2 linked regions of the Arabidopsis thaliana genome follow. The protein of the gene in region 2 interacts with the protein of the main gene of each other region in a pairwise test. Each region holds a gene or a part of one and is shown on either strand. Other genes may lie near its edges.

The links.
Region 1: the proteins of SYP61 (region 2) and PIP3 interact in a two-hybrid assay, tested with the Arabidopsis thaliana proteins (one study listed by BioGRID).

What each region holds. Positions count from the first base shown.
Region 1 is NC_003075.7:16,706,343-16,710,970, reverse strand, and holds PIP3 (plasma membrane intrinsic protein 3), read right to left. Parts: upstream 2,611-4,628; 5' UTR 2,300-2,610; coding exon 2,014-2,299; intron 1,922-2,013; coding exon 1,626-1,921; intron 1,367-1,625; coding exon 1,226-1,366; intron 1,133-1,225; coding exon 1,013-1,132; 3' UTR 564-1,012; downstream 1-563. UniProt on the Arabidopsis thaliana protein: Water channel required to facilitate the transport of water across cell membrane. May be involved in the osmoregulation in plants under high osmotic stress such as under a high salt condition.
Region 2 is NC_003070.9:10,013,720-10,018,595, reverse strand, and holds SYP61 (syntaxin of plants 61), read right to left. Parts: upstream 2,741-4,876; 5' UTR 2,571-2,740; intron 2,190-2,570; 5' UTR 2,164-2,189; coding exon 2,110-2,163; intron 2,030-2,109; coding exon 1,916-2,029; intron 1,846-1,915; exon of another isoform or gene 1,761-1,845; coding exon of another isoform or gene 1,728-1,760; coding exon 1,614-1,727; intron 1,518-1,613; coding exon 1,330-1,517; intron 1,185-1,329; coding exon 1,094-1,184; intron 1,009-1,093; coding exon 943-1,008; intron 865-942; coding exon 754-864; 3' UTR 549-753; downstream 1-548. Other genes in the region: GRX480 (Thioredoxin superfamily protein), read left to right, coding at 4,549-4,876. UniProt on the Arabidopsis thaliana protein: Vesicle trafficking protein that functions in the secretory pathway; the fusion of phospholipid vesicles containing SYP61 and VTI12 is triggered by YKT61 and YKT62. Together with VTI12, required for membrane fusion.

The sequences.
Region 1 (4,628 bases), on a different chromosome or scaffold from region 2:
TTCGTATTTGTATTCATACTATTTTAAAGCCAACTCTCACTGTCGCAATTTACATCCCATAGACAAATTTAGTGCTTATTGCTTCCATGAGCATTTTCTTTTTTTTTTCTCTCTTTAATCAAATGCATTATTCAATTAAGTTGGTAAAGTCTTTTATACAAATAATTTCCTAATACATCCAAACACATATGCGTTTGGGTGGGTCTAAAGACTCTTAGCCAAAAGGAGTCTACTATATAACAATAACAATAACAATACGGTAACTAGACGCAGAAAAGTTACCCATGTGATAAACACATGAGCTACGCGACACGCGGCCTAAGAAAAGTTAGAGTGCGGTGGAAAAAATGGGTTTAATGTCTCGTTTCTTGTCTGGTTGTTACAACTCTATTGGCTCCACTCCTTTTTATCCTTTCACAAAAACAACAAAAGGTACTCGCACGAGTTCTTTTTCTTTTAAAAACAATACTAATTCTAACAAGTAACATCGAAAAAAAAGACTAAAGCAAATGGAGCGAAAATAGTTGTTTTCTTGTCAACTAACGAAAATGTAACCACATAGCAAATGGAATCCAATATTTCCTTCTCAACACGTGTCAATTAATGAATGGTTTACATATGACCCGATGGTTTAGAGTCGACACGAGGATAATAACCAAAAGACCCACACACCATGTTCAGCCGAAATTTGTATCTTAATTGGACGCTAGCTGTAATAATGTACATTGAAGGATCTTGTGATGTTGTGAATAATAAATTCCAACTTGGATTGTTCGATATTTACGAACTGACATGAAGAGAAAACATGAATTTGTAACTACTAAGAGAAACCAAAGGCAAACGATTAACAAAGACAATCAAAAACTAAAGAAGGAAATAGAAGTCACTGAGCCATTTCATAATTAACATCAATCCACCATCTCTCTCATTACACACAAAAGAACAACAAATAATAATTAAAGCATATAAATCTTAAAGTTGTTTCTTGACATTATCTTAAAAAAAGCCTTCATTAATTGGTTGCGTTGCTTCGGAACGAGCCCAAGGCCTTAATTGCTGAAGCTCTCAATATGTATTGGTGGTAAGCTGCTGCAGCTAGTGCTCCCAAGAACGGACCAACCCAAAAGATCCACTGCAAAACCAAAACCAACACAGAACCAACATTAGGACATGAAGTCATGAATGATTAGTGAATACCTAATCCAGATAATAACTAAACACTTACTTGGTCATCCCACGCCTTCTCGTTGTTGTAGATAACAGCAGCACCAAAGCTTCTAGCTGGGTTGATACCAGTTCCAGTAATGGGGATAGTAGCCAAATGCACCATGAACACAGCAAATCCAATTGGAAGTGGAGCCAAAACCTAATCACAAGAAAACCCACCACACTTTATCAGAATCTACAAAGTAAAGATCCTTAGAGATTCATACATACTTTGTCATTACACCATAAAAAGATTCAAACTTCATCAGAATCTACAAAGACCCATTTTATATTCATACTAACTTTATCATTAAATCCTAAAAAGATTCAACCTTTATCATAATCTACAAAGACCCAATCAGATTCATAGTAACTTTGTCAAAAAACTCAATTAAAGATTCAAGCTTTTTGAGACTTACGGGGATGTGAGAGTCACGAGCGCTTCTCTTAGGGTCAGTTGCAGAGAAAACGGTGTAAACAAGGACGAAAGTTCCAATAATCTCAGCTCCGAGAGCAGTTCCTTTGCTGTAACCGTCAGCTACGGTGTTAGCTCCTCCACCAAGAGTGTTGTAAGGAGTTTTCATGAAAGCTTTCACGAAACCCACACCACAAATGGCTCCAAGACACTGAGCTATCATGTAACCAAGAGCTCGCACCAAAGAGACCTTACGGGCCAAGAACAGACCGAAAGTCACAGCTGGGTTAATGTGACCACCTACGAGAAGACGAGAACAAGAACGAGATTAACAATAAAACCAACGAACCAAACAAGTAAAAGTTAGGGTTTTTGGTGGGATTCAAACTTACCAGAGATACCGGCGGTGCAGTAGACGAGGACGAAGATCATACCACCGAAAGCCCAAGCGATACCAAGTAAACCAACGCCGTCACAAGGACCGGTTTGCTTCTTGTGGCCGATGACAGTAGCGACGGTGACGTAGAGGAAGAGGAGTGTAGCGATGAACTCAGCGATGAGAGCTCTGTAGAAAGACCAGGATTTGAGCTCACCCATGTCGAGAAGAGGAGCTGGTGGAGGATCCACGTAGTCTTTTCCATGGTGGGTTTTGCCTTCTTCGCTCACTTCTTTCGACATCTTTGTTCTTTTTACTCTCTAGCTAGCTATGGAGTTTGTGGTGCTGTGTGACGACGACAGTGTATCTCTTCTGCCATTTTAAAGGGGAAAAAGGAAACCCTTGTAATGCCAGGGATAAACCAAGGGTACTTTCGGTATTACGTACTATTTGTATAGTCTACATAATTCTGCTTATAATCATTATTAGTACGATTAAATAGTTAATAACCCTCTAAACTAACTTAGTACTAAAAATATAAACTACTAAATGTTCCTTGGAACTTTCCAGTTTTAGTTAAAATCACATACGATTAATATGCATTATTACTGACAAAATAATAGTCAAAATTATCACGAATGTTCCTGCAAAATAATAGTCAAATTTGTGTTTTAATGCATTTTTTTCTCTTGCTAACATCAATAGTTATATGCATTATTACTGGCCCAATCAAATTTTTGTTCTTGTACTGTATGATATAGTGTATAAAATAGCAATCAAAGTGGGGTATAATTTGCATGGCCAAATCTTTTGCAGTTCTGTAAAATGTGAATATTTTTCCTACTAATAAATATGGAACAATGGGATAAATACACAAATGTTTAAATAAATAAAAATAAGACATGTGTTTTTGTAGGTTTGTTGAATATTTTTTTGGGTAGTAATAATTTGAAAAAAAAAATGGGAGATAAAAGTAGAAGGTGGTGGGGTCCAGATGTACAGATAAGCCATGTGAGGGTTAATGATAGAAATGAGGTGTATGGTTTTCTCGTCAGCCTGTCATCCCAAACTCTCTTCAACGGTTATCTCAATATCTTTGTCTTTTTTTCCAAATCTTTTTTGGTAACATTTTTTCAAATTAGGTCAAATGTTTGTAACATATGATAATCTGCTAAAGGCAACTGTACATGAAAAAGATTAATAATCTACGAAGAAGGTATATTCGCGGCAATTTTTAAAAAGAGTTCATATACCAGCAAAAGATAAGAGTCTATTAATTATGGTTGGTGCCGTTTTTTTGACGAAACTTGTATAGACAAACATTCACCCCGCATATAAACTATATAGTAGTCTATGCTAATTTATACTCACATTAATGTGTTTGTCGTTGAAATTTGAAGACTATTTATGGATTATAATCAATTTTAAAATTTGGTTAAATGATGTATGGGAGTATATACTAATACTAGTGCATCTTATTCTTTTTGATCAAAAAATTTATCTACTCATTTGCTATTCCTTTTATTTTTTTCCTTTGAGAGAGCCATATTAATTTGAATGGTTATGTTTGTATATAGCAATACGGACGTGGCATATTAGAAAGTTGATACAAATGTACATTAAAACTTAATGGTCATTTTTTTCTAAAGTTTAATGGTCATTTAGATTGAGAATTGCATAAAGAAAAATCCATAGTGCAAGCTCACAAGGAAAAGAAAAACTAGCATAAATAGTGGACTGACGGATAATCCGAAGTGCTGGCAATTTAGGAATCCCGTAATGAGTGTTAATATCTAAAGCTTAGTTTACTCTTTTCCTTTCACATTTTTTATACGTTAATACGACGTTTGTCCTTATCCTCGTAGCCCTAATCAAAATTATTTATTTTGTTAATATCCCTAGCCAATTATTACTTAATTTACTTTATCACTTTGTGTAATACTTAAATTTTACGCAAATGTGATTTAGATATATGAAATGGAAGTAACTTTACTTCCTAAGTCGACCCACGATAATATCATTAATTCAAGTAAAGTACGACAAAGAAATATTTGATTTGATATTATGCTGCCTTTGGTAATGGAAATGCCAGGTCGATGAGCAATCATAGAAAATGATGATTGCCTTCCTCTTTGTCCATGAAGAAGACTATACGATTTCGTATAACAAAATTATATCTGCTAAGTTGTGGTAAATTTATTAAATATACAGTTCAGGCAACATTACGCAGTGCAAACATTAAAACCACCAATACACATTTTCATTTCAATTGAGTTTGAAACTAATAAATAGGGAGCCTGCGGTTTCCAAATAGTGAGATATCGACCCTAGTAGTAATCAATAAGATTTCAAGTTTTATGATTTGGAAACGAAAACAATAATGTCTGGATAGTAGTACTGGACCATCAAATATATTACGTAAATAAAGTCTCTTCGTGGTGCAGAAGAGGTTGGATAATAATAATATTTGGCTAAACTTCATCCGAATCATTGCATGTGAGAATGGATCACCATCTTATCTTTGCTGCTACTATACCTATCGTTAATTATGATTTATTTTCCCGGAACATGAAGGATTTTTGTACATTATGGTTAGCGAACTTCAACAATTTCAACTAGTCTAGTTAAATT
Region 2 (4,876 bases):
GATTCTTTTATGGGCTTACGTTGGGCCTTATCAGCCCAAATCTCTTCTTATTAATGATACAATGACTCATTATTCATTTTACAATCTAAAGCGTTGTCATTTTGCACACAAAAAAAAAAAAAAAGCGTTGTCATAAGAGTTTAACGATAGTATCAGAAAGATTCAACAATAAATCAGTTATTCAACTAATTATATCCGGCAATGATTCTTCCGGAGATCATGCTTATAGTGAGTGAGTCCTTTGGATTCGTTGATGATCGATCAGTTGAAGCATTTGCCTTCAATTATGAACTATTAAGGGTGGTCTTTTGAGCAGTAGCCGGGTTTGTTGCCACAAATTGTTAGATTTTTGCCGGTTCTTTATTTTTGGAGTCATTTTGTTGTCTTTAGATGTTTCTTATGGAGTCTGCTTTCGGAATTTTTTTTTCGTTACAGAACTGAAGAAGCAAAGGAGACATTGCGGAAACTTAAAGAAGGCATAATAAAGGTGTATTCTATAGGGAAGTTTTTGACGGCTTACTTTTGATGAGACTGATTTGTATTGTTTAAGGAACTTAGCCATGGGATCAAGCTATGAAAGTATTTAATTTCAGGTTCTCTAGAGATCACACAGCCAAAGTTCAAAATTATATGTGGGATTGGATAGGAGAAGAAAAAACAGACAACCTTATGTAAATATTCCATTTGTTTCACCACAAACATGATAATGTAAGACATTAAACTCCCATCTATAAGATCCCGCGGCTCTGTTCTTTAGGTCAAGAAGACAAGAACGAATAGGATGATGAACAAGACGAGCAAGAAACATATCATCATCATTTGACCTTTTGCTCCAGCTTTCTTCATTACCATTCCCACTTTTTTCTGTCACAATACCATTTTCATTCTTTCAGTTTTTACTTTCTGCAATCAAACCAGCAACAAGACCTTTAAGGGGTTTACCTGAACAAATTCAAGACGGTTCTTTGTGCTGTCCATCTCCGTATCCAATTCATCTATTATTCTCTCCTGAACACACACAATAACAAAAACTTGATGTTTCTGATCTCTACTGATACGTCCTACTGTTAAATCATCTTCCCATATTACTAACCTGTGCAACGAGTTCGTCGTGTATAGTGAGCCCCACTCCTCCAATTCTCTGTACACTTTTACTAAGCTCATCCAATTCTTCGTCTTGTTGCCTGAAGTGAAAAAAATGATGTTAAGTTATGGCACTACTCTGTTTTTGAACAACACTATGCTACAATCTTCAGTCTAAAATCGTTATAAACTCAGAAGCAAAGAAAAGACTGCAAAACAATGTAGAACACACAGAGAGAGCTTTACTTTATCAACAGCATTTGCCTATCTGATTCTGACTGTACAAAACCATCATCGTCTCTCCCTCCATACTGATCATATCTACTTGCTTCACCCGAGTTTGGCATTCTCATTAGTTCTCTACGCACTTCACTTGCATGACCTGCTCCAGAACTAACCTTTCCAGCTAAAACACCAGACTTCACATTCCGCACCTATAAAAAAAATCGTAATCGTCTTGCACAAGTCAACTAACAACAAATTTATGCCACTATGTAAAGCAGTATTCATAACAAACTTAGAGAACATACCTGTGTCCTAGCATTACTAGTCCATCTCCTCCGTTTTTCAAGCTCAGCTTCATCAATGCCATACCATGAAGGATCTTTTGCTGCAACAGTAATCGCTTTTTCCAGCTCATCTACCTTCCTATCAGTAAAAACAGCTTCAATAGCCATGAAAGGACTCGAATATATTCAATTGGAATTTCTAATCATGTAAATAAGGGCCAATACATTCCTACAAGATCCATTTACAAACACAAATCCTATTCCACACCAGCTAAATTATATATAAAGACGAGATTAATAGAACCGTGACTAAATACGAGTACCTGCCACTCAATGCTTCCACAAGTAGCAACAAGCTCCTTCGCCACATGTGCTTGATCACCCATGTCGGGAGAGATACGCTCCCATTTGTGGAATGTAGATTGCAACTTATCAATCTAACAAAGCATCATCCATCAATCACTGTACTTCAAAATCTAAACAAAAAAACATCTCTGGCAATTTCTGAACAACTTACAGAATCCTGAATCTCTTCTTTAACAATGTAGAATGGATCTTGAGCTGAAGACATCCCGAAATCAACAAAATTTTGCTACCCTATACACCAAATAACACAGCTGATTAAGCTATAGAAACAAGTTCTTATGCAAAGTTAGTTACAGAAACAGAATTTTGAAATTTCATCTCATTGGCAGGGATTGTTCTGGAGATGCGCAAATTCTACGATTGCAAAATTAGAGTTCCTAAGTCACAATGATCAAACTCGACAAAACTATTAGATCCAGAGAAATTCCGATTAAATCCTGGCTAATCTAGGGTTAGAATTTTATTCAATAGAACCGGAACGGCTTTATCAATCTATGTGCTTTAAGATCGACACAAACATTGGAGAAAAAGCTTGCGTTTAGAGACGATAACGACAAGGATCAATGCGAAAGGAGAATTGATGTAAGAGGAAAATTGAAGAAGCTTCCTTACCTGTGAAGGAATTAATCGAAAGGTGACGCGACGGAGAACAAACGACGGTGAAGTAAAAGAGATTCCGGCGTGAGATTCGTCTCTCTTACATAGCAAAACGCATCACCTGCGGTTGGCTTTGAGATTCGCTGAAAGTTTATTTTTGGGCTACTGGAGAATCTTATAAAGCCCAATAAGAGACCACAGAGCCCAATAAGTTATTACAAATCTACGACAGTATTAATAAAGACCATTTTCTACGTTACAAAATTTTGATTATTAACTGTTATAGAAAATGGTTATATTGAAACGCATATTTGGCATTTGTTATAGAAGAAAGAAACCACTCTTGCTGAGTTTTTGTTGGTTAAAGCGTGACCTAAGTCTGTCTATTGAGAAGATTCATAGTCCATGAAAAATCCGATGCTACTATAAATGATTGTTTACTAATCCTAGAAACCAAAAACAAATAATTGTTTTCTCAATTCAAAAATTGTATGGTAAAATTTTAGGGTTTACACATTTAAGATTTTAAGTGTTATAGATTTCCGGTGCACAGAAGAATGGTATATATTGTGAGTTTGTGATTAGTTTTGTTATGCAAACTTCTCACGTTAGGCAACTGTAAATATAATATCTCCAACAAAGCGGTCATGCAATTTGTTTTGTTGAAAATTTGTATATTTTACTAGCGGTCATGAATTTTTAAATCCCCCACACTCTATTTTTTAAAATATTTTTAACGTTTTGGGACCATGATGGATGTTGAACTTTCATTTCAGGATTTGGTGGAACGATAAAATTGGAAAGGCTTTGGAGTTTGGAACCTGAAGAACTTATAAAGTTAAAGGATGACACGTGACTTTAATAAAGAAATGCAATTCCCATAATCATATAATAGTCCAAATTTAGGAAGAAATGGGTGACATGAGTTTTAAAGAAGAAAGACGTCATGATTCCATTAAAACAAACCAAATTAGTTGGTGGCTTGGTGCTGACGTCTACCGACTTTTCCACCGTCCATCCTTCGACGATGGTTCTTTCTAAATGACCTTCTCAGTTTTTTCCTGTCATGCGTATTATTATTATTAGTTAATAAGGCTCCACTACTACTCGGAAAGTCCGAGTACAAATAATATGACAATAATGTCAAACTTATTCTTAGTATTGGTTTAAAAGAAGGATTCAACAAGAGTACTTAATCACGTCTCATAATTACCACTTTCATCCAAACATGGTCATTACTATATGACATGATCGTGTTACATTAATTTGGAAAGTAGTATATGTCTTTTTCCTAAAAGTTTATGTTTAGATTTTTGATCACTAAGAATATAATGTCATATATATTATTAACCTTTACACCTAAATGTTATATTAATTACTTGAATGATAAAACGGAAAATATCGAAAGTTTAGGCTAGGTCTCTCTAGCATCTCTAGTGTATTTATTTAGCAATCCCAAAACAAAATTGTGTTTTCTACAATTTTAGTATTAGATTACCAAAATTGTTGTATATAGTCTGGTGATTCCGTTTTGATGGTCGAGATCGAAAGAAGCAAGCATCCACTATGTGGTCGTCACATGCGAATATTTCTAAGTATACAACCATCTATCGAAAGTTTCGAAACAACCCAAATATAATAGTAATAAATTCTGAGAATTCTCCTATTTTTTATTGATATGAAAAAAGCAGTAAAATATTATGTAAAGTAGAGAGGAACCAAAATTAAAACGTGCAGATTTATTAAAAGAATAAAGTGGGATCCAAAAAGTCAGCGTGAAACATGTGATACGATATAACGACACGGTCCTATGACTAAGTCCACTCCAATCCAGTGACGTAAACAGCACCATCACCCATAGCTTCCTGTGACGCACATCCTTACGTAACCATCGTTGACGCTAGACTTTCCTCTCTGATCTCTCTTTCTTCATGTATATATAACAAAACCTTCCTTTCCTAATTGGTATCTATCTTTAAAAACATACTTGAAAATGCAAGGAACGATTTCTTGTGCAAGAAATTATAACATGACGACAACCGTCGGGGAATCTCTGCGGCCGCTATCGCTTAAAACGCAGGGAAACGGCGAGAGAGTTCGGATGGTGGTGGAGGAGAACGCGGTGATTGTGATTGGACGGAGAGGATGTTGCATGTGTCATGTGGTGAGGAGGCTGCTTCTTGGACTTGGAGTGAATCCGGCGGTCCTTGAGATTGATGAGGAGAGGGAAGATGAAGTTTTGAGTGAGTTGGAGAATATTGGAGTTCAAGGCGGCGGAGGTACGGTGAAGTTACCGGCGGTTTATGTAGGAGGGAGGTTGT